Linked DNA regions of Diceros bicornis minor. The protein of the gene in region 2 interacts with the protein of the main gene of each other region in a pairwise test. Links are inferred from orthologs where the notes say so. Each region holds a gene or a part of one and is shown on either strand. Other genes may lie near its edges.

Region 1 (7,027 bases), on a different chromosome or scaffold from region 2:
AGGTGGTTGGTCTGGTGGGCCAGCAGCTGGTGGGGGAAAGGGAAGTGCAGTGAAAGGAGACCGGGTGGCGCCAGGTTTCATGGTCACATCCGGTCCCGGCAACGGAGATGCTGGTGAGACAAAGAAAAAGAGGGCATGGAGTAGGAGAAAAGGAGACCAGAAGTCAGATCATCAGAGTTCCACTTTAGTCCCTGAAGAATCAGAGTTCCGATTCTCAACAGGTGAGGGAGGAGATATGGAGAGAGAACTTGTATAGTTTGCAATGTCCCCCAAGTGATCTTGATGTCCCTTACTCCCAGTTAAGAATTATTGCACTAGAGAAGCTGCAATAATTCTTGGACCTATGAGCTCATGCCCCATAACTCATTGCACCCAGCATACAGGTACACCTTTATTCCCATCCATTCCCAACACATTCAAACCACCTGAACCCTACTCCCAGCTGCTCTGTGGTCCCTGCCACCACTCACAGAAGTGTTGTTCCCAGAAGAGGATGTGTGGATTAGATGTTTGGTTCCCAGCACTTCTGTTATATAACAGCCAGGAATGACTGGAGATAAGGGTCAGGAAATGAGCAAGGGCAGGGTGGTGTGGGGAGGGAGGTTTCCAGAGCTTCAAGTAGCTGCTGGACATGTTAAAATTTGGCAATGCAGACTATCTGTGATCCTTCTGCTTGAAGTTCCTAACATCAGAAATTTAGGGCCCACTATGAACAAGGCACTGATAAGGAAGTCCAAAACACAGTACTTGCTGAGGAGGAGCTAAGCGGACTCCAGTCAAAGAGACGAAAGATAAATACACAAAACGTGTACTTAATTAATCAGGACATGTGTCTCCTAGGACTTTTAACAATAACAATAGAAGATCATCTGTCTAATTTCATGCTACTCTCCTCCCCTCTTATAAAGAATATCCCACTGGCAAACTAACAACACTCAGTTTCCGTTTCCAGACCATGAAGGAGACACGGAATATGAGCAAACTCGTCATCTCAACCACAGAGCAGAGGGCCAGGAGTACTCCACCAAGTACGGAACACAAAGAAATGGGTTTGAATGCCTGAGCTCCACAAAAGGTAGAAAAGCTGAGAGCATCTCAGGGAAGCCCCAGCTCTTGTACTGGCTGGAGTGACCCACCTCCCCTGGCCCTGGCGGAGGAATCAAGGAAAACTGCTCCCTGAACTGAGAGAGAAGCCATCTCTGGGGCTGGAAGGAGCCATGAGGCTCTGAGCAGAGGCGCTTATAGTACCTTCCAGTCTAGCTTTCGGGAGGACATTTCTCTACAGACTTGGCAACAGATAACCCCACTGAACAGTTTTCCAGCTAAGGCCTCCACCCCCCACCCCCTCAGTAAGATCCAGAATGGCCCCAGCTCAATTCTCTCAGGGCAAAATTCTAGAGCACCCTCCGGTTGCCTAAAGAAGACACAGGAACTCGAGGCTTCCCCTTGAACCTTCTCTGGGCCCCACACATACTCCTGCCCCTGCCACACAAGCATATGTTAAAAGGGTCCCTCTTCCAGAGAAGCAAGTTGTTAACTGCCATTCCTTCTCTATCATCAGCACTTTCCTCTGAGGTGCTTTGATCTGTCTCCCAGGAGGCCTTCTTCCTTCCCCAACCCCCAGTCTTAATGGCACAACCTCCTTCCCCAGCCTCCCCCAGTGAGAGGCCTTTGGTGAGGTCTCTAGTGATCTCGCATCCCTCTAGATCAGCCCAAAGAGCCTGTCCCCAAGTAAAGCATCAAATTTTAATCCTGAAGGATGTGAGCAGGTGGCAGGGACCCTCCCGCCCACCTGCAGACTTACTTCCATCTGAAGCCATCCTCTCAGGTTTGGGCGCTAACCGTGGCTGTCTGGAAGCCTCCAGAATGAGACAGTCAGGTTCAGGACCCAGAGAGTAATCTGGCTCCAGTAGAGGCACAGGGATCCAAGGAAGGGAGGGTAAAGATCAGATTAAAACAGAACTAGAATCTAGGACTCAAGGCATTCTGCAGTGGGGGAGGGGACAGCAGAATATGGGGTGGGGGGAGGGAGATACTCCACAAAGGGTTCTAGTAAGCAGTAACAAGGAATTCCCTCCAAACCAGAGTATGGCAACACAATTGTTGTGTACCTCTTTAGGGATATTTGTATATTCGTTCTCAGATTCCCAACATTATAGTTTTACATCTCAGTACCCTATACAACTCTTCACCAATATATCTAGTTCTGTGCCCTTCAATCCCATCCAGTTCTGTACCTGATTTCCCATTAATAGCAGGTTGTGGCAGACCCTTGACTTAATTCAATGTTGGCTATATTTTCTGAACCAAATTCAGAGCACATAGTCTGGTGTACTTAAGGATCAAGGGAATAGAATGTCTGAAATTAGGGTTGTCTCATAAGACCCAGGGTGTTCAATTGCTGTATGCATATCATTTCCTTGGAAAGCTGTCCTGCAGTGCCCCAACAGTCCACTTCCATCAGCTCTGCAGTCCACAGAAGGCTCAGCCTTACCCCTGGCTGAAAAGCCCCACTCTATCAAAAACTGCCATTCAGCCTAAAATTTCAAGACCAAAAAGTCCTTCCTTTTGTTTGTTAAATTATTTTGTTTTAAAATTTTGTTAAATAATTTTAATTTTTTAAATGGGTAATACATCAGCATGGTTCAAAAGTCAAACTATGCAAAATGGAATATACAGCAAGTCTCCCTCCCACTCCTTTCCTCTGGGACGGAGTTCTTTATCCCAGAGGAAACCAATATTATGTTTCTTGTGAATCCTTGCAGAGATATTTTATGCAACTACAAGTGAATACAAACTATATTCTTTAAAAAAAATAAAGTCTTTCAGTTTTTCTGGTTATAAAATTAATACATGCTCCAATGTTTTTGCTATTATACATAATACTGCAACGATCATCTTTGTAATGATATCTGGGCTCCAATTTTCGTTTTTCAAACTAGAGTCCTATAAGGAGAATTTCTACGTTCTTTTAAAAATTGGAAATACCCTTCGGAGGTACATCTTATTATGCTATTATTAGCTACTCACCACCATAAGAGCGCTGAATTTGTGGTAAAGAGACCTGAGTTTGAATCTTGGTTCGACCTCTAAAACATACTTCACCAGTTTCATAAAATAACTTCACGCTCTCCTCGCTGTACAGAATATTGAATACCCATCATGCACTCTTTACCGCCAATACTTTGAAATAGGGCGCGGGGATCGGATGTAAAAGAGAGGAGGGAAGAAAACCTTCTTCTTTCTTCCCTAAGGTAAAGGGGCTCTGGATCCTGGAGCTATTGTTTCTCCAGACACTAGAAACACACTGCCCCTGAAATGGGTGTGCATCTTGAAATAAAGACAGGATTCTATTCATCAATGTTCAACTCATATCCATCCTTACCCCCCTCTAACGCCTAGCAGCCTAGCAGTGTCGGGCACACAGGGGGCACACTCCACGCGTCTCTGAACGCCTGCAAGGTTGCAACTGGGCGCCAACGCCAGCAAAGTTGCAACTGGGTTGCAACTGGGCCAACTCTTGCACTAGGGCTCCCCCTTTTGGCCAGCTGGAGAAAGGCCTAAGTGGACTACATTTCCCGGCATGCCTAGAAAGAGACTTCCGGCTATGCAGGAAGGAAATTGACAAACACGTGAGGCGGTCTGTTGGACGGAGCTGCGCACGGAGTTGGAAGTTCTGGCTGTAGTCTGATCATGTTCCTCCAGTATTATCTCAACGAGCAGGGAGACCGGGTCTATACGCTTAAGGTGAGTAGAGGAAACAGGTTGTGAATGGGTATGGCGAGAAATGTAGGTGGGAGCAGCGGTTGAGACCAGGCACCGAGTTGCCTCCCTGGGTGAGGCGAACTAGAAAACCCAGAAGCCAGGCGTGGTAGAAGCGGGAGTGTATGACCCCTTCGTCTGTCCGTCACGTCTTCTGTCCTGTTTACCTTTTTTTGCGCGGCCCCCTCCCCATCCCAGCCTCCATCTCCCTTTAGACGCCGGTGCTTGAGTTTTCCCATCACTCCTGTACTGATGTTCTCTGTTTCTTGAGCAGAAGCTTGACCCTGTGGGACAACAGACCTGCTCGGCCCATCCTGCTCGGTTCTCCCCAGACGACAAATACTCTCGACACCGAATCACCATCAAGAAACGCTTCAAGGTGCTCATGACCCAGCAACCGCGCCCTGTCCTCTGAGAGTCCCTTAAATTTCGTGTGTCTTCTGCCGCCTGCTACCCCTCAAGAGACTTTCCGAAACCACGCTCTTCAATCTGTGAGCCTTGAGGCCTTCTGACCACCCTTGCTCTGTGGAATCCGGTCTCATCATTGCTTTTGATCATGCTTGTGTGAGGCAATCATGGTAGCATCTCCCTTAAAGGGAACAAGTTTGAATCTTCTTTTCATGTTTTCAGTCACTGCCAAGTTATTAAAATGATTTGAAGGAGCTCTTGTTTTGTATGTTGTGGGAAGAAAGAAGTGGTTTAAAAACAAAGACAAAAACGAAGGAGCTGAGAGGGAAGAGTACTCCCAAAGGTACAGCAAGTTCACTTGGAAGAAAAACTTGAGTCGCTGCTGCAGCAGGAGTCCTGCTGTGCTGTTAGTGATAGGAGGGTGTTGAGGAAGGGGAAGAAAGGTTGAGAAAGACGCGTCCACAACTGTCAGCATTCTCTGAAAAATACCCCTGTTGTCACTTAAATAATTTCTTGCCCCTTGAAATGACATTGACTCAAAATGGAAGAGTTGCTTGAAAAATAATAGCTATTTTGTAGAGGGAAGGCAGTGAATTGGAAGTCAGGAGACCAGGATTCTCCCCTCTTTGTATAACTTTGAGAAAGTCACTTAACCTGTTCAGTCTCATTTTTCTCATCATTTCTAAGTTCTCTTCCAACTCTAAAATTGATAGGGTTCAGTGGTGGATCTTAATATATCTACAGTGTTTGTGCAGCCGTTGTGAATAGCAATGCCTTTATGCATATTCACTTCCCCTCTGGAAATAATCCCAGGTTTTTTGTTCTCTCCATCAAGGAATTGTCTTTTTACATACACCTAACTTTATATTCTCTCTGGCAGCTAGCTGCTATTTGGAACTCTTCATGGATCTTAATTTAGAAGATGAAATATGAGAGATTTTGTTGTTTGTCAAGGTAGTGTGGGGGTTAATTAAAAATTTCTTATTTCTTAGTCTATTCACTTACATGGTTCTTAGTATTGGATCTGAGGGATTTTAAAGAGTTACTTTATCCTATTAAGGGGATAATCTTTGAAGAAAGGTTAAAAATTCTGCAAATGACTAGAAAAAGGATCTGCTAAGGAAGATTTCTTAAGCACCAAAGTCAGTAAATGAATTCTGCTACCAATTTTTTTAATGGTGACTGTAATTCTGTCTTTATAAGTTACCACCCCGCCAAAAAAAAAAAGAAAAAGGATTAGCATTGTTCCATGCTACCTGCTGTGTAGACTGAAATGAAAAGATTTGACCTGGAAATATTCCTAATCAAAGTAGAGGAGAAAAGGCAAACTGGTTTCAATATACCGAGGACTTTTTCTTTAAGAGACCCCCTAGGTATTAACATCTCTGAGATGTGCTCAGAAACAGTTAAGAGGTATAATATATTGGTATTAGGTAGTATATATAAATGAATGAAAATACACTGTTATGAAACAAAATTGGATATTGTAAAAAATTCAGCGTTTCTTTATAAAGGGAAAGTCTGTGAGATTTGAATGAATAGCAGGCCTGCCTGAGGAAAAAACTGATCCCTCAGGGAGGTGAATTTCTTGCTTTCTCAGGTAGGAAACCTGTCAAGAATCAAGCTTTGAGGAGGTTTACATTTTAAATGGGAATTTATTTCTCATTTTGTTACCTGGATCTTTTTAACCAGATTTTGGACTTTGTGTGTCATTTGATAAAAGGGAATATCCTGGCTCAGGTCTTAAATACTGTTTGATCTATTGCTAAGGATGATGCTGAAACATTTCCACTTGGGATGGGCAAGGACCTAGGCAAAGCTAGGACCCAGATTGTTAAATTTAAATGTCTTGACCAGGGCCGGCCCCGTGGTGTACTGGTTAAGTGTGCGCGCTCAGCTGCTGGTGGCCCAGGTTCAGATCCTGGGTGCTCACCAACGCACCGCTTGTCAAGCCATGCTGTGGGGGTGTCCCATATCAAGTGGAGGAAGATGGGCACAGATGTTAGCCCAGGGCCAGTCTTCCTCAGCAAAAAGAGGAGGATTGACATGGATGTTAGCTCAGGGCTGCTCTTCCTCATACACACACGAAAAATAATAAAATAAAATAAATGCCTTGACCAAAGCTATGGGAAATAACCTCCTAACAAAACATTGATGACTCAAAATGTATTGAACACCTTTACTCATGCATTAAATACACATGCTGAGAAAAATATTCTGATGGCAATAGTCAACAGAAAGTATCTCAATATCTTTTCCAGGTCTAATATGAAAAACATTTTCTTTAATGGAACTTAAAGTCTGACTAGAAAGTGAACATAACATTTTTTTCCAGCTATGTTGACAAAATTGTATATATTTAAGGTGTACAACTTGATTTGATAGATGTATATACTGTGAAAGACAGCATTTTTTTAAAGGACAAGAAAAAGAAATGTAGCACAAAGTGTGTATAAATTTGAGGACACAATGCTTTAGAATACACCTCAACATAAAAATTCCAGTGAGAGTCATACCTAGATATATGGCATTGGGAAGTTTGTGATTTTTAAAGAAATTTTGAATGGTATTTTCAGAGACTCTTATTAAAGAGAGAGATGGTTTTTGGGATTCTGAGGGCAAAGTGTGTCGCCTGCTTTCTGAGATGCCGCCAGAGTGAGTTTGCAACACAGCAGAACCAAGAAGGAAAAGGATGAGTTTTCTCCAGCGCACGCAGCTCAGGAACCGGCCCCCCCCCCCCCCCCCAATTCCGTTCGTGCTCCGGGCCTGCCGCGTTCAGCCCCGCCCCTCGCCCACCAGTCCCGCCGCGACCCGGGCGAGCGCATGCGCGCAGCCCTCTCCGTCGCCTCGCGGGCTG
Region 2 (7,594 bases):
GGAGGAAGATGGGCACGGATCTTAGCCCGGGGCCAATCTTTCTCAGCAAAAAGAGGAAGATTGACGTTGGATGTTAGCTCAGGGCTGGTCTTCCTCACAAAAAAAAAAGGTTGCTGACTGAGTAATATTCCCTTCCCAGTCCTCCTTAGGACCCCACTCCCAACTTTCTCACCCCTCCACCAAGGCTCCCAGGTGAATTGGGTACCTGGAGCAAAGTGGGAAGACAGATTACTTCCTACTGGAAGGGGAAGGAGGGCTTCAAGTGGTGTGCGGGTCACCCGAGTCCTGGGAAAAAGTGCAATCTGAGTAAGCCCAAAACACCCAAGTTCTCCCTCTTCCCAGGTCACCTGTTTTTTCGCCTTCACCAAACATCTTCTCATTACTCTACTGCTCATGGGGCCTTCTGGGTGATACCTGTTCTCTGCTGGGAAGCTACTGCCAGTTCACCATTTTGAAGGTAAACCCTTTCCACCCCCACATTCACCTGTTCTTGGTGCAGCCTCTGAACCTCCTCCAGCTCCCGCTGGTTCCCCTCTTCCAGGTTCTTCCGGACAACCTCGGCCCCAGCCAAGGCAGCACGCAGGCCCTCGGCCTCAGCTCGGCCGGCCTTCTCCGCCCGTGCCAGAGCCTCCAGCTCCATGGCCTGGGCCTCTAGCCTCATCTTCTGCTGCAGCGAGGTCTCCCGCAGGACCCGGACCTCCTCCTCAAGCCGCCGCAGCTCTTGCAGCTGCCGAGAGATCAGCTCAGCCTGCTGGCTCAGGGCCTGCGACCCCTCTATGGACCTTCAAAGACAGATTAGCACAGGTGAGACATGTCTCTGGTGCTGGGAGAGTGGCCAAGGGCATAAATGGAGACAGAAGGAGAAGAGGATCCTTCTGTTCCCATGTGGGGAGATGAGGGGGATGAAGCCGGGCCATGGGGATCTCTGCATTTCCCTCACCATAGTCATTCATCGAGGCCCTACTAAGCACATTAGGTCCACTGTCTGGGCTCACAGGACCTAAAGGCTTGCTGAGACCATAGAACGTGATCTCCCTAGAGAGAGCCTATATACAGGCAGATATATTAAACATCTGCCTGTGCACATCATCAGGCCACACATTCTGAATTGGAGAGGTTGGAAGAACACACAGAGGCTTCTGAATTCCGATTTAAGGGCAAGGAAAAGTTTGAGGGAGGTGCAGAGAAAGAGAAGTCAAGGCTTCCAGTATCAACATGGTGCGGCCAGGAGCTAGTTAAAAGCATTTATTGAGTGTTAGGAGGAGTCTGAGAGAACAGTACAGCAATAAATTGCAAAGTTCCGACCTTTGGAGAACAGAATCAACTGGTGTCACATAAAGTTTAAACCAGTATAACAAGGCTCTTGACACAGCTCACTCACTGAGGCCCAGAACCACGGAATTTTTTTTTGAAGTGGCAGGGATCTGTCACTTCAGAGCCTAGAGAAATTAAGTGACTGGCCAAAGGAGCCCCAGCTGGTAGCCAAATGAGCAACAGAAAGTCTCTGTCTCCTGACACCCACTCCAGTGTTCCCCTTTCATCATCGGGCTCCTTCCTCTTTGATGGGGTCCAAGGTAGACCCATCTGCAATTCCACTCTAGGGCAAAATGGCAGAATGACATTCCAGGACATTTGGGAAAAGACACACATGAAACATCAAGAATTTTTATAGACAGTACACCTACAAATAGCATGGCTACCTCCAATGGCATGTACTCTGTCAGAATGAATCCACATACCACAGTACAAGCTACACTCCTTCACACTTCTTCATCTTGCCTTATACTATGTTTATTACAATCAGCTGTTGGTCAGTCTCTCTCTTGGGATTTTAAATTCCTTGAGATAAAGATCTCTCTTATTCATTTTTGTTATCCCCATCCCTAGCAGCTAACACACTGCCTTATTACTATTTATTCATTGTAGGCACACCAATAGTTGCTTATGTAAAAATGAACAAATTATGGAAGGGCTGAAACAGGGTAACAAATCTATTTCAGTGAAGAAGGGTCACTGGCAAGCAAGCCCAAGAAAACAGTGACAGTGTATCCCTACCTGCCTCTCTGCCCTGGCTCCTGCCCATTGTCAGAAACACCTCGTTCCCACATGATCACTTGAGGTCTCTGGTTGTCTGGCCGCCTTTCTGAGACATCTTGATGGGCTGGGGGTTGGAGCAGGGGAATGTCTGAGACCCAAGTGGGAGCCATTCTTGGCACAGTTGGAAGGGGCCGAGCTTGGAAGTGGGATGGGGGAATCAGCCCAGTGGAACCTGAAGAATCACAAGGACAAAGATGGTCAGCTTCCCAGGGAGAGACAATCACCAGTCCCCTTGCCAGGTCCCACTGACCTGAAGGTCGAAACATCTCCACATTATTTGAAGCCTCTAGATTCAGTGTCCAGCCATCTATGTTCCCCTGGACAATAGGAGAAACAAGGACACTCCAATTCAACTTTCAGGCCACCTTCCAAAGAGAAAGCCCCTACAATAACAAAGTCATAATCCTTAAATAAAAGCCAGGTCCACCCAACCCTTAGCTCCTCTTTTCCTACTTCCCAAAAGAAGTAGGAAATACCCAAAGATCACTTGCTTGACCCAACCTGGTTCCTGACAGAACTATGGCAATTACCACGAGATGGAGGGAATTTACTGAGACAGGCTGAGAGGGAGCTCTCTGAGGCTTTACTCATACTTTGGGGATTCTGGGAGTGACTTTACCCTCCTCCTTAAGTTTCTACAGTCTCTGCCGTTCCTGGTCGGAGGTGAGAAAGGAGGTATGCAGTGCAGGGGTTGTGAGCCCAATCTCCAGAGTTCTCTCCATGGCTCAGCAAGGCCTTGGGGAAGCCCATCCAGACACCACCAAGCCATGCCTCCTTGGTCCTTCCCTATTAAAGCTCTGGCCCCAGGCCCAGATGAATGTGGCTACATGCAGAATAGGATGCCTCCCCAGGACCTCTGGGAATCCAGGCAGCCTAGATCTCTTGGCAGAAAAGCCAGCTTCCTGACATCTCATCCAAACCCTTCCAACAACTTTCCTCTCAATTTCTCTCTACTATCCTCTCAGCTTCCATTCCTGTCACCCACCCTCCCCTCTCCAGAGTCCTAGAGCATAGAGAGGGTGTTCAAGGTCTCCCCACCCTCCCACCCGAATTCATCTATTTTCGCCCCGCCGATCTGGGATTTCTATTCCCCTCCCTCCCTACATCCTAATCTGCTTTTTTCCTGAAGGAATTACTCTGCTCCCTCACTCGCACCTTCATCTCTCAACTCAATAGCCTGCTCTCGCCTCCCTGCACTCTAGCCGGCTCTCAGTTCTGCCACCCGACCCCCACTCCCTCAAATACCCTTGCGTCTTCACCCTGCTTGACCCCGAGCTCTAAGGCTGTTCCGACCACCTTACCCGTTCTTTTACCCGGCCCCCTTACCCCACTTCCCCTATGGACCCCTGAACCCACCCTCGCACCCCAGCTCAGCCCCTTCCCGCCCCCAACCGACACTTCCAGAATGCCCCTTACCCAGCGCGAGAGCCCACCTCTGCCCTTTGACCACACCCCCTACACCTTGCTCCCGGGCGCGGCCTCCGCCCCTGACCGCGCCTGCGCAAAGCGCGCAGGTTGGCGGGCCGCTCTAAAGCCCGTTTCACCCCGGAAGGAGGAGGGGAAGAGGTGCACGCAGGCGCAGTAGTGTCTGAAGCCGGGCCCAACTAAGGCGTTGGGGCAGCTCCGCGCCCCGGCGGCTCCTCCCAACTCCGGGAACCCGGGAAAACTTGTGAACTAATCAGAAAAAGCGGAAGGCGGGAGATCGGAGAGCCTCCAAGCGCGCCGCCCAATGGAGAGGAGGAGCACAAATGAGCCGGCCAATCAGGAACGGCACGGGGGGCGGGCTCGCTCGGCGCGAAGTTCGGGCCCGGGAATTCCAAAGGCGGGGTCGGCGCTGCCCGCGCGCGGAGGCCGCGCCCCTCCTGGCCCCGGCTTCCTTGCTGTCAAACAGCCGCGGGAGCGCCAGCGCCGGCCGGAGCCCGAGAGGTCCCGGGGCCGCCGAGAGGCTGGCACTGCCTGGAGGGGAGACCCTGCCACTGCACCGCGCGGTAATCCGAAACTGGGCTGGGGCGGGGAGGGAAAAGACTGGGTTTGCCTTGTATGATCTCCGGGAGCTCTTTGCTCTATTTTTATCCCACCCGGAGAAGCGGAGGTTTAGATCCGCTTTGTTGGAGAACGTAAGGACTCGTTTGCACTGCCTTTAGGGGATGACAGTGGATTCACTTTCCCACTGGGGTTCAAGCTAACTAGTTATGAGTGAGGTATTGGCCAGAAGAGCAAGGCGCGGGCAAGCAGGAGGATTACTCCATTTGGATAAGCAGGTCTGACAGGAAGAAGCTTCTTTTCTCCAAATTACATTGAGGTGACAAGCTAACATTGCACAGGAGCAGGAACCCCCCCCTCATACATACATCTACAGTGTATTTCCCTAGACGCTGCCTAATGTATGTTGCCTTGCACAGATTGAAGGCTCCCCGAGTATTTTGCGGCCTGAGGATCCGGTTCAACTAAGGTGCCATAAGACGTGTTGGTTTTTGCACTGCACCGGGACCTTCTCCGAACTTTTCAGTTGCAAAGCTGCTTGACAGCCAATTTTCCATCGTGTGCCTAGGCTCCTTGTCCTCTGAATTTGCACCATTCAGGGAGTGTCCTCAAAGTTGAAATTGCACAAAGCACAGCTCAAGTTTGTATCAGACGGAAAGTAAACTTAGGCCGGCCATGCATCACCCAGGAGTGGGAAAGGTGATGGATTCCTGAAGTGGAAGAGGTGGTGCGGAGGGGGCACCGCCCATGCTGCCCTGCTTCCAGCTGCTGCGCATAGGGGGCGGCAGGGGCGGTGATCTCTACACCTTCCACCCCCCAAGCGGAGCTGGCTGCACCTATCGCTTGGGCCGCAGGGCCGACCTGTGTGATGTGGCCCTGCGGCCCCAGCAGGAGCCCGGCCTCATCTCTGGAGTCCACGCGGAGCTGCACGCTGAATGCCGGGGCGATGACTGGAGGGTCAGTCTGGAGGACCATAGCAGCCAAGGTGAGCAGTGAGCAGGGCAGCCTTGCACCTAGGCAGTTGCAGTTCTGGGCTGGAATGATTAAGGGACTCCACAAGGACCCTTCCTGCCTCCCAAACTCCCCATCAGGTTTGATGGACAGCTGTAGTCCAGACCTGTCTTCCTACCAGAAATGTGCAGTGTCAGACACTCTGCGGGGCTGACCCTCGATGGCCCGTTTAGCTCATACAGGGACTGGGAGGTAGATCCAGGGCCTGGGGCATCATCAGGAAAGTATCACAGTGGGGTTGTTCTGGGGCATTGGGATCCAAGCTAAGACTTGACTCAGTTTCCAGATTTGCTGAGGCATCTCGTTCCTGTCTTAGGGCCGTTATGATATGTTGAATTATGTTTTAATGATCTGGGCATATGTCTTACTCCTTGACTTTGGAGATAGTTACAGCCAGCCTCAGAAGGCCTGACTTCACATCTGAGTTCTGCCACTGGCCGCTGGTGGCAGACCTATCAGACCTGGTGGCCCCCTCAGACCTGTTACTTCTCCTCTCTGGGTTTCCTCTTGGGTAAAATGTCTTTGTGAGGTCTATTTTGGTGTGTGGTAGGGGTTGGATAACAGTGGTAGCCAACATTCATGTAGTGCTTACTATTATGAACCAGGCAGATTTAAGTGCATTGAATGTAGGTGGGCATGAATATCATCCCCATTTTATAGGCGAGGGAAATGAGGCACAAAGAGGTTAACTTGTCCAGAGTCACATAGCTGGTAAGTGGTGGAGCTAGGATTTGAACCCAGACAGGCTGAGCTTTGCTGATAGTAACTGTTGAGTTGGGGCTGTTTGAGGGTGAGTATATCTGAGAACTGGACCTCAGTAGAGTGAGGGGAGTCCGCTCCCTCTATGTGCCCTGAGGGAGGGCATAAGAAAAGTAAATCTTGTTCCCAGCTCACAAGGAGCTTAATCTCTGATATCACCTGCTGAGGTACTTAGAATGTGAGAGAATTTGATGACAGGTGTCAAGTTCTTCCTCATATTCCCCAGAAAATCAAATGGGGCCAGATTCCTCCCCTCCTGACTGACTCTGGTCATTTCTGTTTTGTCCTTCTCTGTGCCTGGTTGCCCACCATCAACAGGGACTTTGGTCAATAATGTCCGACTCCCAAGGGGTCATAGGCTAGAGTTGAGTGATGGTGACCTTCTGACCTTTGGCCCTGAAGGGCCCCCAGGAACCAGCCCCCCGGAGTTCTACTTCATGTTTCAGCAAGTCCGCGTCAAACCTCAAGATTTTGCTGCCATTACCATCCCTCGGTCTAGGGGAGAAGAGGGAACCAGGGCTGGTTTCCGGCCCATGCTGCCCTCCCAGGGGGCTCCACAGCGCCCCCTCAGCACCCTCTCCCCTGCCCCCAAAGCCACGCTGATCCTCAACTCCATCGGCAGCCTCAGCAAGCTCCAGCCCCAGCCCCTCACCTTTTCCCGGAGTGGGGGTGGGCCACAGAGCCTGCCTGTTCCCACTCCCCCTGGGGAAGTGGGGACCACCCCTTCTGCCCCACCCCCAAGGAATCGCAGGAAATCAGCTCACCGAGTGTTGGCAGAACTGGATGATGAGAGAGAGGGTCCCGAGAGCCCTCCACCAGTCCTTACAGAGCCCAGGAAGAAATTCCGTGTAGAGAAAACCCCACTTACACCTAGTGGGTAAGTAGAGAGATCTTTGTCTTAATATTTCACTGCCTTTTGATTCATTTTTAGAGCCCCAGGCTGGGAGGTGGCCTTCAGCTCAGGGGAGGGAGAGGGGGATGGGAGGTGGACAGGAGTGGAACAGATGTTGGAATGGCAAGACCTGGGTTAGCTCTACTAACCAGGTTCACCATTAGTCTAGTGAGTCTATCTAGGTTCACTTTGATTATCCAGGGGACAGTTCTAGGCTTCTACAGTTTCTAGTGACCCTGGTTTTTGTGTCACTTTCTTCAGAAATCGACGTGGGCGTCCTCGGAAGCACCCAGTGAGCACCCCCATTGCTCCCCCCGCAGTTGGGGGTGGGGAGCCCTGTGCAGCCCCTTGTTGCTGCCTGCCCCAAGAAGAGACAGTAGCCTGGGTTCAGTGTGATGGTTGTGACGTCTGGTTCCATGTGGCCTGTGTTGGCTGTAGCATCCAGGCTGCCAGGGAGGCCGACTTCCGGTGCCCAGGGTGTCGTGTAGGCATCCAGACCTAAGGCCACCATCACGGCACCAGAGGACAGAGCTGGCACCTCCAGGCCACGGGTGGACACAGTGGTGTGCCAATGAGTCCTAAGAAATGCCCCTTCTTCCCTTGCCTCCCCAGGAGGGAATGACTACAGGGGAAGGGTCCATTGCTATGGATATCGATTGGAGGCCTGGAGCAGGCCCTCATGGCCAAGGTGACAGAAGAGATGGTTTCCTACCAAAGATATTGCTGCCTGCAGGGAGTTGCCAGAGAGCTGGAAATTCCCACTGTTACAAGCTGTAGGTCCTTGTCATGGACGTTAGGACGTCTGTGGTCAGAGCAACCAATTGCAGAGGCCATGCCTTGAAAGATGTAAGC
Region 3 (7,605 bases), on a different chromosome or scaffold from region 2:
AAAGTCCGGAAGGTCCAGCGGAAGGTGGAGTGTGGTTTTGCGGGCAGGGGGCTGGGGTGGAGGTGGGTTGGGGATCAACTTCATTACTGCTCACATTTCTAAATGAGCACGTACTGCTTCTGTCATTCAAAGACCACTTTGACAACGGCCCCTAAAGGGCTCGTTGGCAGCCCACACAAACGTGGGGACCGCCCCTCCTACTCCCTCACCCAGTGCAGGCTGTTCTTTGCCGGCGGGCGGGCGGCGAGGCGCCTACCTGGTCCCGCTCGATGGCGACCTCCTCCATCTGCTGCAGGATGGCCTCGATGCGGTCCTTGTACATCTTGGAGTCCTTCCGCAGGGCCTGGCACTGCAGCTCGAACATCTCCTTCTCCTCCATGCACTGCGGGAGACGGCAGCTAGCTAGCCCCACCGCCCGTGGCCCCTGTTCTGGCCCCCGGTCAGGCCCGGCTGGGACGAGGGGGAGGCTGCCTGAGCCCCTAGGTCCCTGCCAGCCCTGAGCTTCCAGACCAAGGCTGGCCCTGACTGCCCTGGGGGAGTGAGGGCAGGAGTGGGTGAGAAGGCCGGCCCTACGCCTCCAGAACGGGGTGCAGTAGGGACTGAGCTGAGAGCTGAGAGCCCCCCGGTTCCAGGCACTGCGTGGGCACAGGGCAGTCCCTCAGCCCACGCAGCCAGCCTGGCCCCAGGCGCGGTGTCCACCTGCCCCCGCTGCGTACCCGGGTGCGCAGGGCCTCGGCCTGGCGCAGGTCCTTGCGCAGGGAGAAGATGGTGCTGGCCTGCTCCTGGTGGTCCTGCAGCGCCTGCCTCCAGTCCTCCTCCAGCACCTGGATGTAGGGGCTGCTCTTCTCTGGCTTCCCAGCCTGCGGGTGGCGAAGGGGAGAGGGCAGCAGGGCAGCGACCTTGCTGGGGGAGGCCCACGGCCCACCTGCCCCGGCGCCCGCCCCGCAGGCCCCACCTGGACGGAGGCCTCCAGCTCCTGCACCCGGGCCTGCAGCAGGGCCTTCTCCTGCTGCAGCTCCCACAGCAGCTCCTGGCTGGGCCGCTGCTCCATGGCGTGCCTGAGCTTCAGCGTGTGCTTGCGCTCCACCTTGCAGTCGTCCTCCGCCTTCATGAGGCTGTGCCGGAGCCGGTCGATCTGCGGGACAACCCCGTCAGCGCGGCGGCCTCACCCACTGCCTGGCCCTCGACGCCTGCCAGGCCCTCTCTGCAGGACGGAGGCTCGGGGCCACGCGACTCGCCCAGGACACCGCCACGGGCCCACCCCCGCGCCCCGTGGACCGGAGGGCACCTCCAGCTGCAGGTCGCGGTTGCGCATGAGCGCGGCGCCCTTCTCCTCGCTCTGGCGGGCCAGGCGCAGGGCCAGGTCGTAGTTCTCCTCCTTGCAGCGCTTGAGCTCCCGGCCGCCGGCCTCACACTCCTCCTTGAGACGCTGCACGCGCTCCTGGTGCTTGCGCAGCAGGCTGTCCTTCACCCGCAGCTCCTTGATGAAGTCGTCCTTGGAGCTCAGCAGCGCCGTCAGGTCCTGCACCTTCTTCTGCAGCTTCATCACCTCGCTCATCAGCAGCTGCGTCAGGCCCGACTCCCCGGACGCGTCTGTAGACGGGGCCAGCGTCAGACTGTCGCCTGTCCCCCACGGCCACCCTGCCCCACCGCCTCCCAGGGCCCTGCACTGGAGGAGCAGCAACGCGTGGCTCCAGGGAATGCGGAGCCCGGCCAAGGGGTCAAGTCCAAGTGGCTGCTGCTTCTCGTCGAGGAAATGGACTGAGATGCTCACTCACCTCCCCGGCCCCTGTCCCGATGCCCGTCCAGGACAGGGGACAGCCAGGGCCAGGCACCTGTCTCCCTTTGTCTGATCTTATCATCTTGATTGAGAGGCAAGAGGACGCGAGTCCGGGGCCAGGAGAGCATTGCTTCGCCATTCCTGGGAGTGGCAGGCCCCGCCCTCTCAGGGGCAGTGTCTGTGGCCCAGGGCAGGGACAGGGGCTTTGCAGGTGGGATGGTTTTCTGGGCAGGAGGGGCTCCGATCTGTGAGTCAGCCTGTGCACCTGCACACGCCTCCGACCTGCTGCTCCCCGAGAGGTCTGGTCCCCCTTTTCTTGGGCCGCTGCTCCCTCCGCGAGTGTTCGGAGAGGAGAGCGGGACGGGAGCGATGACCAGCCCCGCTCCCACGCCGGCACCCTGCCCACGAGCAGCTCACTCACTTTCCTTGATCCCAATTTACCCGGTCGGGAGACCCGATGGGGAGGTGCCTGCTGCCCTGTCCCCATGCCACTGCCCTCCCAACATGTCTGGCTCTGCCCCATGCCGACCCCACCCCTCCATCCTGGCCCTGTGCCCCCCACGTCCCCCACCCCCATGCCCGGTGTCCCGTTCCTCACCGATGATCATGGAGAAGACACGGGTGGGCTCCTTGCCCGTGACCTTCTTGTAGAGCTGGGGGTAGTAGAGCTCCAGGCTCTCGAGGAAGGCCACGTAGCCCTTGTGGCCGGTCCGCTGCAGGATGTCCAGGAGCACGCCTGCCACCCAGAGAGGCCTGGCTGGCGCCCGGGCCTCAGCGTCCCGGGACGTGCATGGGTGCTCTGGGCCGGGGGACAAGGCTGTGCGGCCCCCGCCAGGTCTGGCCGCAGCCAAATGGGTCTGGGACGTGGACAGCCGCTGCAGGCCGGGGTCCAAGTGCCACCCGCCACCCCTTGGCTCTCCCAGAGGCCTCAGCAGTGCATGGAAGCACCACGGCCCCCGGCAAACAGGACGGGTGCAGGGGTGCCGGGGGTTTCGTCCACGTGCTTGCAGTTGGGGTTGGGGTGCACTCCGTGGGGCTGCATGGGGCTCGGCCTCCTGGGGACAAGGGTAGGGGACAAAGCCCACAGCGGCCTCTGGGCAGGCTCCTAGCCAGCTCGGGGGCGGGGCAGCACTGACCCACTTTGCGCTTGCGGATGACCAGGTTGGGGTCGCTGAGCACCTGCTCCTCATCGTCGGGGTTCAGGACCTTGCACTGCCTCAGGTAGGGCGTGATGCGCGAGGGGTCGATGACGGAGATGAGCTTCACCCGGAAGCCCTCCAGGGCGCTCCAGCACTCCTCCTCGTTCTCATAGTCCGACATGGCAGGGTCGGCCAGAGTCGGGGAGGGCGGCTGGGAGGGACACCACTCGCTGAGCTGTCAGCTGAGCTAGGCCCCAGGCCCGCCACCGAGGAGCCCAGCCAGGAACTCAGCCCAGGGGTGTTCGGGAGAGAGGTGTGCTGCCTCAGGCCCTGCCCTCCCATCTCGGCGACCTAGAGAGGGAAGCAGCAGCTGCGCAGGGACCCTGCTGCCCATCTGCTCACTGGGTGGCCCTCGGCCTCACCTGGGCCCTGCTCCCGCCCCCTGGGCCACCCTGGGCTTTCTCTCTCCCGAGTCACCCTGGTGAGTACGGGGGAAGGTGTGGAGATGCTCCAGGGGCAGGAACATCCCCTGCACCATGGCTCTCCTCTGGCCTCTGCCCGCCCCGGGAGACCCCCAAGTGTCGTGGGGCTGGCAGGGATGGCCACCTCCCACCTGTGGGGCAGGAGGAGCCATTTGTGCTGCTGCCACCCGCTGGCACGACCTCCCTGGCCGGCCAGTGCCCAGGCTGGGGCGAGAGGCACGAGGCAAGTGACCTCCCACCTGCGCAATGCTGGACCATGCTGTCTGGGGCTTCCTCATTTCCCAACTTAGCGTCTGCTCAGGTCCCCGCCCCAGCCCCTCCTCTCTTTCCGTGGCCGGCTGGTGGTGCAACAGCCTCCCAGCAGCTGCCTGGAGCTGGCCTGCTCCGAGTCAGGCTCAGCGACACTGTGCCTTTCGGGAAGGGTGACTGACCGCCCACAGGAGGGCCAGGGCCTGGGCACTAGGGGAAGGCCTGGCTGTGTCGCCCACGGCCAGCCTGGAATGCTGCTTGGGCGCCTCCTCCGGGCTCTCAGGTCCTGGGACCCAGCCGTCTCTGGCTCCTCTCCCACCTCTCAGATGAGGCCTGCTCTTGGTCACACTCTGGGGGACTGGCACGCTGGCCTTCTGACGAGGGGACCACCTACATTGGGACCAGCCACTGCTGCTGCCTTCCACCAGCAGGCGAGAAATCACTCTCTCCGGGGCTGGGCCAAGCCAGGTGGTCGTGCCTCCTCTGGGTGGTGGGGACGGAGACCCTGACTCGGCCACCTCAGACAGAGCCTTCAGCTGTGTTGGAAACTCTGGTTTCTAGCCCACAGGAGCTAGACCACATCCTAGAGATGTGGGTGACAGAAGGCCTGGTCTCTGGAGGAGGTCCTCCCACTTCCCACAGAGCTTGGCCTTCCCATCCAGCCCAGCAACAGACAAGGTGTGGAATAAAGATACCAGCAACCCGGTGGACGGTCCTGGGAACTTTCGGCCCATTCCCGCCTTTCTAGCCTAAAAGCCACGGGTCCCACGTCTGATGCCCCGCTGTTAATTCCACTGAGATGAACAAGCAGGTCTCAGTGGCCGTGAAGAGGGACAGGGCAGAAGAGTTGAGGCCACTGGGTACCCTTCTGGGCTATTTGCTCCAGGACCCGGCTCCCTGCCCCAGCAGCCCTGAGCAGAGAGCCACGGCACCTTCCCAATCACCTTTCAGAAAGGGCCCCAGACCAGCCTACCTCAGGGTCCTCGAGGGGGCACCCACACAGCTGGACGCTGGTCAGCCTGGGCCACCCCGATCAATGAGCAACAGGAGGTGCTGCTGGCGGCCAGGGGCCTGAGGGAGGGTGGAGCCCAGCGGGACGCCTGTGCACTTCCTGATGGTTCTGGGCAACTCCACAGAGGCCCAGCCGGTCCTCCCGCAGGGGGACAGTCCCTGGTGGCTGCCTTCTGATTCGCCCAGCCAGGGCGGCCCAGGAGGCGGGGCAGAGGGAAGTGGAAGTCGTCTGCTCTCAGAGGAAAGCTGCTGGGAGCCCTCCCAGCCTGCCTGGCGGCCAAGGTCCCGGGCCTGCCCTGGGGGCCCAGCCCCGGCACCCTGCACAGTGGAAGTGCGGGCGAAGGCCCACCCAGGGGCTGGGTGTGGCTGATCCACCATCCAGTCTGCTTTGGCCCAGACGCCTAAGGACTGCAGTGTGGTGTCCAAAAAGGGCATGGGGCTGGGGAGGCCCCTGCCACCTGCAAGAGGCCACAGGCCCCGGCCACATTTGCCTCACTTGGCCGCCAGCCCACTGCAGCTAGCACATCCTCCTCCCTTCCTGGGAGCATCCCCACTCTGCAGCCCTCTCCACTAGGACACGTGGGACAGTGACAGCAGGCTCCCGGGACTCCGAGGCCACTGCCTGCAGTCCCACAAGCCGGTGTCAGAATGGCAGTTGACTGCAGGACAAGGCTCCGGCCCATGGTCATGGCAGCAGTCCTCCGTGGACTACGTGGCCTCTCCCAGCCCCTGCCTCGCCGGTGTAGCCGTAGCAGTTGAGCCGAGTTGCCACCTGCCCTGCTGGATGAGGCAACAGCTCCGGGAAGGAGCTGCAGCTGGACGGGCGGGCAGGGCCTGCCCGTGCCCTGGCTCCGCCTTCCGAGGCAGCTGCCTCTCGCCTAACCGGCTCCCTTCCTGTCGGGCTCGGTCCTCAGTCCCTGGGCTTTCCTCTGCCCCTGGCCCACAGCGGTCACCTGGTCGGCCGAAACCTCAGGAGTCCTGGCACAACCAGGCAGGGTAAGTCGTGGAGGCGGCCTGGCCTTCCTGCAGGCTCCGAGAAGACAGAGGCCCAATGTCACCCTCTAGCAGGGAGCAGTCCGGAGGACCCTGGGGGAACGCGTTCTGGGGGCTCATGCCCCGGGCTAGGCGAGCAGGGAGGGGCCCGGGCTGCAGCTCTGCTCTCACGTGATGGATCGGCCACTGCTGGGCCCTCGACGACCCAACACTTCCCCGCTCGGTAAACAAGGCCGATCAAGGTGTCTTCCTCATGGCGTGTGTTTAAGAATTAAATAAAAACGTGTGTTCTCAGATTACATCAGAATTAAGCTAGAAATCAGTAACAGAGGGCCAGCCCCGTGGCTTAGCGGTTAAGTGCGCGCGCTCTGCTGCTGGCAGCCCGGGGTTCGGATCCCGGGCGCGCACCGAGGCACCACTTCTCCGGCCATGCTGAGGCCGTGTCCCACATACAGCAACTAGAAGGATGTGCAACTATGACGTACAACTATCTACTGGGGCTTTGGGGGAAATAAAAATAAATAAATAAAAATTATAAAAAAAAAAAATCAAATCAGGGGCCGGCCCGGTGGCGCAAGCGGTTAAGTGCGCGCGCTCCGCTGCGGCGGCCCGGGGTTCGCTGGTTCGGATCCCGGGCGCGCACCGACGCACTGCTTGGTAAGCCATGCTGTGGCGGCGTCCCATATAAAGTGGAGGAAGATAGGCACAGATGTTAGCCCAGGGCCGTCTTCCTCAGCAAAAAAAGAGGAGGATTGGCGGATGTTAGCACAGGGCTGATCTCCTCACAAAAAAAAAAAAAAAAAAAAAAAAAAATCAAATCAGTAACAGAAAGATATCTGGAAGATCCCTTGATATTTGGACGTTAAATAACAAACATCTCAGTAACCCGTTACCAGCAAGGTCACCACAGTGGACGGGTGTCAGCAGAGCTTCCCGACTAGATAGACTAGGAAGAAGGACCTGGCCACCCACGTAGAAACATCGGAAAGCCTGTGCATAGCAGCGGAGCATTGTCTGACGTGGCAGAAGGGGAGGAGATGGCGCAGAAAGACAGGGCAGGCTTCCCTCTGCTGTCCACGGGGTCTAGGAGCCGGAATCCACTCCACGGCACTGACAAAATAACCCATCAGTCAGATGAAGTCACAAGGAAAACTAGAAATTAGTTAACCAAGTACTGGGCACAAAGCAAAAACCAAGACCATGCACACAGGAGACTGAGTCAGCCCGTGGCAGGCGTGACCTGTGACGTCTGGGTGGGGAGAGGGGACGGGCGGCCCCGGTGACTGCTGTTGAGGCCAGGCCAGGACATGTGCTGGGCACACTTGCTCTATTTCTGTATGTTGGGAACTTTCCATAATAAGTGAAACCAAGTGGAGCAGGAAGCAAGGAGAACGAAGCCCCGGGAGCCGAGTGCCTCGATGGCTGTAACGGAAACTTGAGGCCTAGTCCTTGAGGTGGGAGCGCCGAGGGTGCTGGACTTGGTCTCAAGCCAAAGGAACGCCGTGCAGAGGCAGGCGGTGCTGGCCTGGAGCCGCCCAGCAGGGCCACTGCTACGATGGGGCACCCGGCTGTGCTGGCTCTAGGGACCCGCCTGGGTGGGCCTGTGTGGTCTACACAGCAGAGGAAGTAGGCCCACCCTTGTCCCTGCAGGGGCACCAAGAGGGCCGGCAGCCGCCTGGGAGGGCACTGGGCTGCCTTCTGCTGGAGCGTGCCCCTCAGCCCAAAGGCCAGAGCCACAGCTACCGCAAACAGGGCAAACCTCTGCTTCTCTGTCTCCTCCCCCATACCCCCAGAAAGGCCCGATCCCTCTGCACTCCGCCCAGTGTCCCAGGACAAGACCACAAGCTTGCTTTTTGACTAAAAAGTAGGCTGTTTATTTCTTCAGATATTTCGATTTGCACTTGGGGACCAGCGAGCCCCTGTGACGTCGCAGTCACTGCTGGCAGAGCCT
Region 4 (8,087 bases), on a different chromosome or scaffold from region 2:
TATAAAACCATGGATAACCAGAACATAGGCATCACTATCTATAGTTTTACAAAGGAGACAATAGCACACTCTTGGCTAACCCAATATCGTATAGCTAGACTATCTCAGAACCAAGGTGAAAATCCACGTCATTTACTCTCAACTCTACTGCTCTTTCCTCTATACCACAAATGGTCAATGAATAAAGCATCTTTTTCTGCGATCAATAACTGAAAAAATTGTGAGTTATTCATCATATTAACATATTTATTCATTTTTATTGACTCACTGAAGTTTACTAATACTGTAAACGTTAGATAATACACTGGCTATTGTAACCATATACATTAATAATTCAGATATAACTAAGGTGAATCTACCAGAGATGATGAGAACAAGGTTACAATAAAAGAATGATAAAAACTAACACGTTATAAATTACTCTTCAAAATTAAAAAAATGAATATATGTCAAACTCATTTCTTAAATATTAGTACTTAATGACTAATTATGGGCAAAATACATTATCAAATGGCCAGTTTACTAGAGGCAAGAATTTTAAGAAGTTTGAAAATCAGACTTGGTTGAGGGAGACAATGATGAGCACTCACTCTCTTTCCTTCCATAAGATTTTTTGGAACTCATCCAAATGCACCTGCAAAGCTGCCATTTCAGGTGCTTCATTCTCCAAAGGCAGATGCATTGCTTGCGGTCTTAATCCAGGTGTCACAGCACAGTTTTCAGAACCACCGTTCTTGAATAAATCAGAACAATCTAGATTCAGTTTCATCTCCTCATTTAATCTTGATGGGTCAATAATCAAACCTTCTTCCTGAAAGGAAAAAATAGAAAACAAATCTTATTGGTGAACATTTAAATCTAGTGTAGAAAAATCATGAAGAAACATATTTTTGGAAAGAAATAAATGTTATGATTCAGCATCAAAGTCATATTTTCATGTCTTGATCATTCTCTCATTGTGTTACAAGGCCAAACTTTAACTTGCATTCTTCAAGCTTTTTTTTTTCTATATTCTATCTTATTATAATAAAACACATTTCTCTGAAGTCTTTTAAAATTTTTCATTTACAGTGGAATCTAAGTTATATCTACCACAAGTCCCACACATCATGGAAAGGCTTAAAATTTTAAATGGAATTGTAGAAGAGAAAGATATGAACTGATTTTGCTTTTAGAGATGGAATTAAATAGAAAGGGGTAACAATATAAACTGATACTATTTAAAGAGATAATATGGGGGCTGCCGCGGTGGCATAGTGGTTAAGTTCGCGTGCTCCACTTCGGCAGTCTGGGGTTTCAGGTTCAGATCCTTGGCGTGGACTAACGCACCACTTGTCAGGCCATGCTGTGGCAGCGTCCCATATAACATAGAGGAAGATGGGCACAGATGTTAGCCCAGGGCCAATCTTCCTTGGCAAAAAGAGGAGGATTGGCATCGGATGTTAGCTCAGTGTTGATCTTCCTCACAAAATAAATAAATAAATAAATAAATACTGCTAAAAAAAAAAATAAAGCGATAATATGAATCCCCAAAGTTTCCCAAAGTATGTTCCACGGGTTAACCGTTAATAGTATTTACAAGGTTTAAAAAATAAAACTGGGGGTGGTGGTGTTCATGGATAAATAAGTGTTATGAACTGCTAGATTAAATGAAGTTTTTAAAAGTTTATCTTGTGCAGAATTCTCAGAAACTTCAAGATTGCAAGTATACCAAGAAATTCCAAAACTGGGTAGTGTGAAGCAATCCCTAAAAGTATTTGCCTAGGGTACCTATTTTACAAGAATTAATTGTGAGGCCAGAGTCTCAAACCTTTAGAAATGTTTCTACTACTATACGGATAATGTACTATTATTGGTAGAATTAGGGTAAATGGGGAGAAATATCTCCAAATATTTTTTCACATAAAAAAAATGCTAGGTTAATTTTTGCTAAAAATCTTAGTGATATCAGCAATATGGGCTGAATTGTGTCCCCCCAAAAAGCTCATTTGTTGAAGTGCTAACCCTCCTCCAGTACCTCAGAATGTAACTACATTTGGGGATTGGGTCTTTAAAGAGGTAATTAAGTTAAAACAAGGTGAGTAGGGTAGGCTTACTGATGGTATCTTTATAAGAAGACGAATCTTCAACACAGGTACATACAGAGCAAAGACTATGTGAAGACACAGAGAGAAGATGGCCATCTATAAGCCACGGAGAGGGGCCTCAGAAGAAACCAACTCTACTGACACCTTAATCGCAGACTTCTAGCCTCCAGAACTGTGAAAAAAAACAAATTTCTGTTGCTGCAGCCACACAGTCTGTGGTACTTAGTTATGGCATCCTAAGCACACAAATACAGTCGCCATTGGGTGTGTCATTTTCCCCTTCCTCCTCGTCACTATATAAAGCATTCAAATATGCGCATAGTCTCTGGATTCCACTGTGGGTTTTTTCCTCACCTTACTAGTTGTGTTCTCCTTTGTAGGAAATTCTCTTCTTAACAAACACTCTCTGATAGACTCACACGTTTTGGAACCCATTTGAAATTGGTCTCTTTGTGCACAGGACACTTCTATGAAACTAGGACGCTTCAGGTCTTGGGTAACTCTAGCCTCTAACACCTCCTTTTGATGTGGCAAACTTTGTTTCTTTTTCAGTGCACTCAATTCCTTCATTGTCATCTCTAATTTTATTCTGAGTTGTCTTCCTTCCTCCCTGGCACTGTTCCTTTCTGTGCGAACTTTACTCCACTTCTCTCTCCAGTTGGCAGTGCAATCTGACCACCACCGCATGGTCTTCTCCATCTGAGCAGCTCTGGCCTTGACTTCTTCAAGTTCTCGCAGGCGAAGTTCTTCACAAATATCCCATTCGTTGGTGTTGCGTGAGTGAGCACAGAGGTCGTGAGCTGCATGGGATTGTAGCCCATAAAGTGGCACACAGGAGTTACAGGTATCTCTGTGGGAGGAGGCAGGTGCTATCACGTCACAAGTTGGTTTAACTGATGACTGCTGCATCTGGAAGATTTGAGTTTCCTCAATTAGCCGATGAATAGAATCTAAATTCATATGTATGTTTTCAGGCCTAAGAAAAGACAGAAAAAAAAATCAAATAATTAATGTTTGAATTTCTTTGCAATGACAAGAACAAGACCTACATTTAAAAAAGAAAGTTGATGAAAACAATACATCTTTTCAATATTGCATATTTTCCTTTCCACTGTAACTAAAAATATAGAGGAATTTATACATTTGTAATTATCCTCAAAGAAACAGAAATTGCTTATATTAAATTTTGCCAAATAAAAATAAAATTATAAAGATGCAATTGAGGATAGAATGCAACATGAATAATTCATTTTAAGAAATCCAATGTTTTTCAGGTAATATTTATTGTAACACATATTGCCCATTAGCTACTCAATGGTCCCTTTTCCCCTGCTAATTAAAGCACAGTTTGTTCAGGTGGAATGCAGAATCTATTCATCTCTGGGAGGAAAAGCCCCCATCCCAATCCCAGGGCTCAATCATGATTGATCTCAGTCTTCCGAGATGACCTCCATTTCACTGATCATTCACTAGTCTCAAGGCAGCATAGGAGCTGGTTCTGGCTGCTGAGATGTGAGGGGAGGTCTGCCAGAGAAATTTCTCATCTAGAAAAATATGAAAACATCAGAACGAAAAACTCTTTTTCCTCTGCTTCTTCCTGCCTGAACAAAGATGAAGGCAAGTATAACAGCCACCCTGTAACATTTAAAATGGTGGAACAGAAAGATGAAAGGAGCTTGATTTAAGGATTGAGCTGCCGCATGAAACCCAGAAGGCATGCCTCTGCCTTCCCTGCTGTGCGAGAATGATGACCTATATTTATTTAAGCTCTGATTGGTGAGTTTTCTGTTACTTGCAGTCAAAATGACATTTAATTGATACATGAATTAATTTCCTACTATGGTTAATATTATGATACGTTCTAAAAATAGAATATTATGAATAAGACATGGTATTTGTCCTTAAAGATTTTATAGTCCAGTGTATGACATAAACACATATAATTTAAAAATACCTAATTCACACTGTAAAAATTATATTTATGTATGCAATCAATCTTTTCTTAGTACACATTACTTGTCAAATCAGTGTTAGCTTCCTAGGTTGTGTACAAGGTGCTCTAAGGAGCTAAAGAAGTGATCAGCTGTCTCCTAGAAATGAAAAGGCTTCACAGCCTAGATAACACTGAACACTGTCTTAGCAATTTCAACTGTTTATAAAGGAATTAAAAATTTCCATATAAATAGCAAAGATAAATTAACTGGTAAATGCAAAGCTTTCTTATCAGTATGTATATCCATTACTTTATTCATTATAGCAACATAGCTATATTAAGGATATAACAAGTAGACCTTTTCTTTAAAATAAATGCTTAAAACATGCAGGTTAATCTACAAATTAATAAAGTTCCGTGGTTGTATAAGATTACCCATTTTTATTATCAAATAAGATATTCTGGTATAAATGATCTTCGGTAACATTTTATATACTTGACATTAATTCCTCTCATTTTTTTCATTTGCTTTTATATAGTTACAGATCATAAACTGTCTCCTTATGAGCCATCCATTTAATCAACTGAAGGGGTTTCATTATACCAATAACTTACAAAATAAGTCTCTAGTCACTGAAAAAAATGACTACACAATACTAAATGTACATCACTTTCAGTTGTAGAAAAAACACATTTTAATAAGTGCTCTGTAGAGGTGCCAAACCAACTCACTCCTTATTACAACACTTATTATTATAATACAGATTCATGGTTGTAATTATTTTGGTTAGCGTTGGTATATGTCCAGTCATATTTGAATTAGTGCTGATTTGGAGTAATTATTCCCTTCATTTACTGTAATTCAGAGGGCAATGATAATATAACTGACCAAATTTCTTGGACTATCAGTAAACCAAGACCATTAAAAAAGAACAAAAGCGGGACCGGCCTGGTGGCGTAGCGGTTAAGTGTGCACACTCTGCTTTGGTGGCCCAGGGTTCGCAGGCACGGATCCCAGGCGCAGACCGATGCACCGCTTGTCAAGCCATGCTGTGGCAGCGTCCCGTATAAATCAGAGGAAGATGGGCACGGATATTAGCCCAGGGCCAATCTTCCTTGGCAAAAAGAGGAGGGTTGGAATCGGATCAGCTCAGGGCTGATCTTCCTCGGTCACACACACACAAAAAAGAACAAAAGGAACTCTTAATTAGAAGCACACCAAAAATTTTATCTACATATTCATATATATATATCTTCATTTTTCACTACTTAATGGTATTTCTTTTGGTTGCATTTCCAAATTGAAGATAGAAAATTTATTTCAGTATATTAAGCTTAAATCTATTCTTGCCATTTTTCAAAATAAATCAATATCATTAAATTGTAATGTCTTTAAAAATGTCTCATTAACTTTTATTTCACTAGTGTTTTGAAGACTCTATAATTGGATTCTGGTACACTGAGATCTTGCCTACCAATTAACTATGTATTTTTTCACATTGGACTAAACAATATTGAGCTGGGTTTAATCATTCAGTCCTTGAACTTCAATAGCATTTCCTGTTCTAAAGTGTTTCTCAAACAAGTGTAAATCAGCATATTTACTCCTCGTGTGTATGTATTAAAGCATTCATTTTCCCTACACATATGTGGGTACTCTTCATGTTTTATTTCAGGTGATTGTGAAAGTATTTGTCAATGGCTGTAGCACAAAGCCTTTGATGTATGGGAAAATATTTTAATGCTATTGACTCTTTGGTTTCTTACATTGATTTTTGCATTGTGCCTACCACAAAAGGGGGGTTACAAGAAAACTCTTGGAGGTGATGAATATGTTTATTACCTTGATTATGGTGATGGTTTCATGGGTGCATGCATATATTTAAATTCATCAGCTGTATACATTAAATATGTGCAGTGTTTTATATCAATTACACTTCAATAAAGCTGTTTTAAAAAGTTCATACAATCAGGCTACCATGATTACTACAAGTAGTTTTGAATGTAGTACATCACCAAATAAATAAAATTTGGTGGGTCTACAGTGTATAGATAACATTACTAAACCTGTTATTTCTTGCTAAAGAGGAGCTTAATGTGTAAGACATTGGGCTCCAGACTCTATTGGTTCAAGTTCTGACTCTGCCACTTTCTAGATAGATGACCTTGGACAAATTACATAAACTGCCTTTGACTCATATCCTTATTTGTAAAAGGAGGCCAAAATATCACGTATCTCACTGAGTTCTTGTGACCATTAAATGGGAAAATGCCAGCTCATCGGCTGGCCCAGGCTGTCTCTTAGGCAAGGTGACAGTTTTTCTCAGCGGTATACAAGTTACTAATATGTCACTTTGGACTATTGTACTATTTATTTTTTTGAGTTTCCTTTCTCTCTTTCAAAGAAAAAATGGTATACTTAAAAAACAGGGAGAGCGACATATAAATGAGATTTACAAAAAAGTTCTAAATTTCATGAAATAAAGGTATAATATCAATTTCTACGTCATATTAATATTATTCAGTGATATATTCAGTACTATTATCGTCTCTATCCTAGAGATGAAGAAACTAGGGCTTAGGGCTCTAATGTAACCAGCCCAAGTCATACACTTAGAAAGAGTCAACCCAGTTTGGGAATTAAAGAAATTTGAATACAGAGCCACCGCCTCTTTGTATCAAAAATCTACTTCAAAATTTCTAGCTTCAAAATATCTATTTTCACTGTAGTAAGATCACCTTTTGGATTATTTCAGAAATATATTTGGCAGACTTCCATTTCGAATAATTTTATGCTCAAATATCTCCCATTAAATCGCACCACAATTAGTCGATTGATCCTGACGTTGAGCTTTGAGTGAATTCAATCTCCTCATCAGAGCTTAAGGGAACTGTATGCAAAGTCTGGGGTTTGTCCACCCCTCCAGCCTCCTCTTCGTCATTCTGCTTCCATGTTCCATGCTTCCGCCACCCAGGTGTGTCCATTCCTTGCACAAACCTCACCTCAGTGGTCTCCTTCGTGCAATCTGATTGCTATGCAGGAGCACTCTCCCCTCTCTCCATACACCCCCCTCCTCCTAGATTCCCATTCTTCAGGTAGCAGCTAGTGGGACCTATGCTTGACCGTCCTCCATTCCTTAGAGGCCTACAGCTGAGCAGAAAATCTGCCTTTGGCCTCCTCTGTGATAGTGAACAAAACAGACATGGCTTCTGCCATCCTGGAACCTTGTTGATAACAAAAGCAATAAATCAAACTAACAATCACAAATGTTAACTGTCTTTGAAAGAAATAGTGTACATACCTACATACTTAGAGAAGTCTCTCTGAAGTGACATCATATGTATTATCTGAAGAATGAGGTGAACCAAAAATAAAAGCATTTTTGGCAGAAGTTAAACTATCAGGGCAGACTAAAACAGGGTCCAAAGGGATTTTTGTTTTATTGTTTATACTTATTGCTTTCCATTAACCTATAGGAAATGAATTCTAAATGAAACCCTGCTTGGATCTTTTTTCCCTAAGAAGCACAGGATCTCTAATGCACCCATAATGATGTAATAAAATCCATAAGCAAAGAGAAAATAGATTCATACAGATTCAGAACATGATGTTAAGGAACGGTTGTTGCTATAGATATGATGCCATATACCCCGATAAAAAGAGAAAAAATAAAGATCAGTTTTCAATATTCAGGAAAGTACCCATCATACTGTATTTTAAAATGTGGCTTGTCAAACATGCACACATGATTAGTATAAAAACTTATGCATTTTGTATGGGTCTAAAGTAGAAAAAAATAATGTCTTTTTAGGAATGTTTTGCAAGAGAATACTAAATATTAAAAGTGAAAACTGCAGTTGTGACAGGGAGGTAAGTGAAGAAATGACAGTGAGTGGCCACATGACATCACTTTGATATAGTTCAAGTTTTGCCTACAGTTAAATATTATATTTTAAAAATACACACACTGTGACAAATTATATGGATAGTTACAGTCTATGTTTGTTGATGTGAATGTGACATTTTGGAACAATACAGAAGCAGGAAATACTTGCAAAAGGAAGGC

Evidence for each region.
Region 1: the proteins of CCHCR1 (region 2) and NUTM1 interact in binary tests that used the Homo sapiens proteins (3 or more experiments, as listed by UniProt). The link is inferred for Diceros bicornis minor from reciprocal best matches to the Homo sapiens genes CCHCR1 and NUTM1.
Region 3: the proteins of CCHCR1 (region 2) and CARD9 interact in binary tests that used the Homo sapiens proteins (3 or more experiments, as listed by UniProt). The link is inferred for Diceros bicornis minor from reciprocal best matches to the Homo sapiens genes CCHCR1 and CARD9.
Region 4: the proteins of CCHCR1 (region 2) and CCDC102B interact in binary tests that used the Homo sapiens proteins (3 or more experiments, as listed by UniProt). The link is inferred for Diceros bicornis minor from reciprocal best matches to the Homo sapiens genes CCHCR1 and CCDC102B.

The regions. Positions count from the first base shown.
Region 1 is NC_080744.1:31,625,901-31,632,927, forward strand, and holds the start of NUTM1 (NUT family member 1), read right to left. Parts: upstream 3,162-7,027; coding exon 3,158-3,161; intron 1,901-3,157; coding exon 1,805-1,900; intron 111-1,804; coding exon 1-110. Other genes in the region: NOP10 (H/ACA ribonucleoprotein complex subunit 3), read left to right, coding at 3,694-3,747, 4,037-4,177. UniProt on the Homo sapiens protein: Plays a role in the regulation of proliferation. Regulates TERT expression by modulating SP1 binding to TERT promoter binding sites.
Region 2 is NC_080753.1:34,069,608-34,077,201, reverse strand, and holds the start of CCHCR1 (coiled-coil alpha-helical rod protein 1), read right to left. Parts: upstream 3,062-7,594; 5' UTR 2,867-3,061; coding exon 2,717-2,866; exon of another isoform or gene 2,415-2,716; coding exon 2,348-2,414; intron 2,270-2,347; coding exon 2,056-2,269; intron 783-2,055; coding exon 485-782; intron 1-484. Other genes in the region: TCF19 (transcription factor 19), read left to right, coding at 4,828-5,065, 6,169-6,727, 7,004-7,244. UniProt on the Homo sapiens protein: May be a regulator of keratinocyte proliferation or differentiation.
Region 3 is NC_080767.1:42,451,188-42,458,792, reverse strand, and holds the start of CARD9 (caspase recruitment domain-containing protein 9), read right to left. Parts: upstream 2,971-7,605; coding exon 2,379-2,970; intron 2,275-2,378; exon of another isoform or gene 1,909-2,274; coding exon of another isoform or gene 1,779-1,908; intron 1,594-1,778; coding exon 1,289-1,593; intron 1,136-1,288; coding exon 956-1,135; intron 861-955; coding exon 717-860; intron 383-716; coding exon 257-382; intron 1-256. UniProt on the Homo sapiens protein: Adapter protein that plays a key role in innate immune response against fungi by forming signaling complexes downstream of C-type lectin receptors.
Region 4 is NC_080755.1:58,670,618-58,678,704, reverse strand, and holds the start of CCDC102B (coiled-coil domain-containing protein 102B), read right to left. Parts: upstream 3,057-8,087; 5' UTR 3,048-3,056; coding exon 2,442-3,047; intron 812-2,441; coding exon 591-811; intron 1-590. UniProt on the Homo sapiens protein: During interphase, forms fibers at the proximal ends of centrioles to maintain centrosome cohesion. During mitosis, dissociates from the centrosome following phosphorylation to allow centrosome separation. Contributes to CROCC/rootletin filament formation.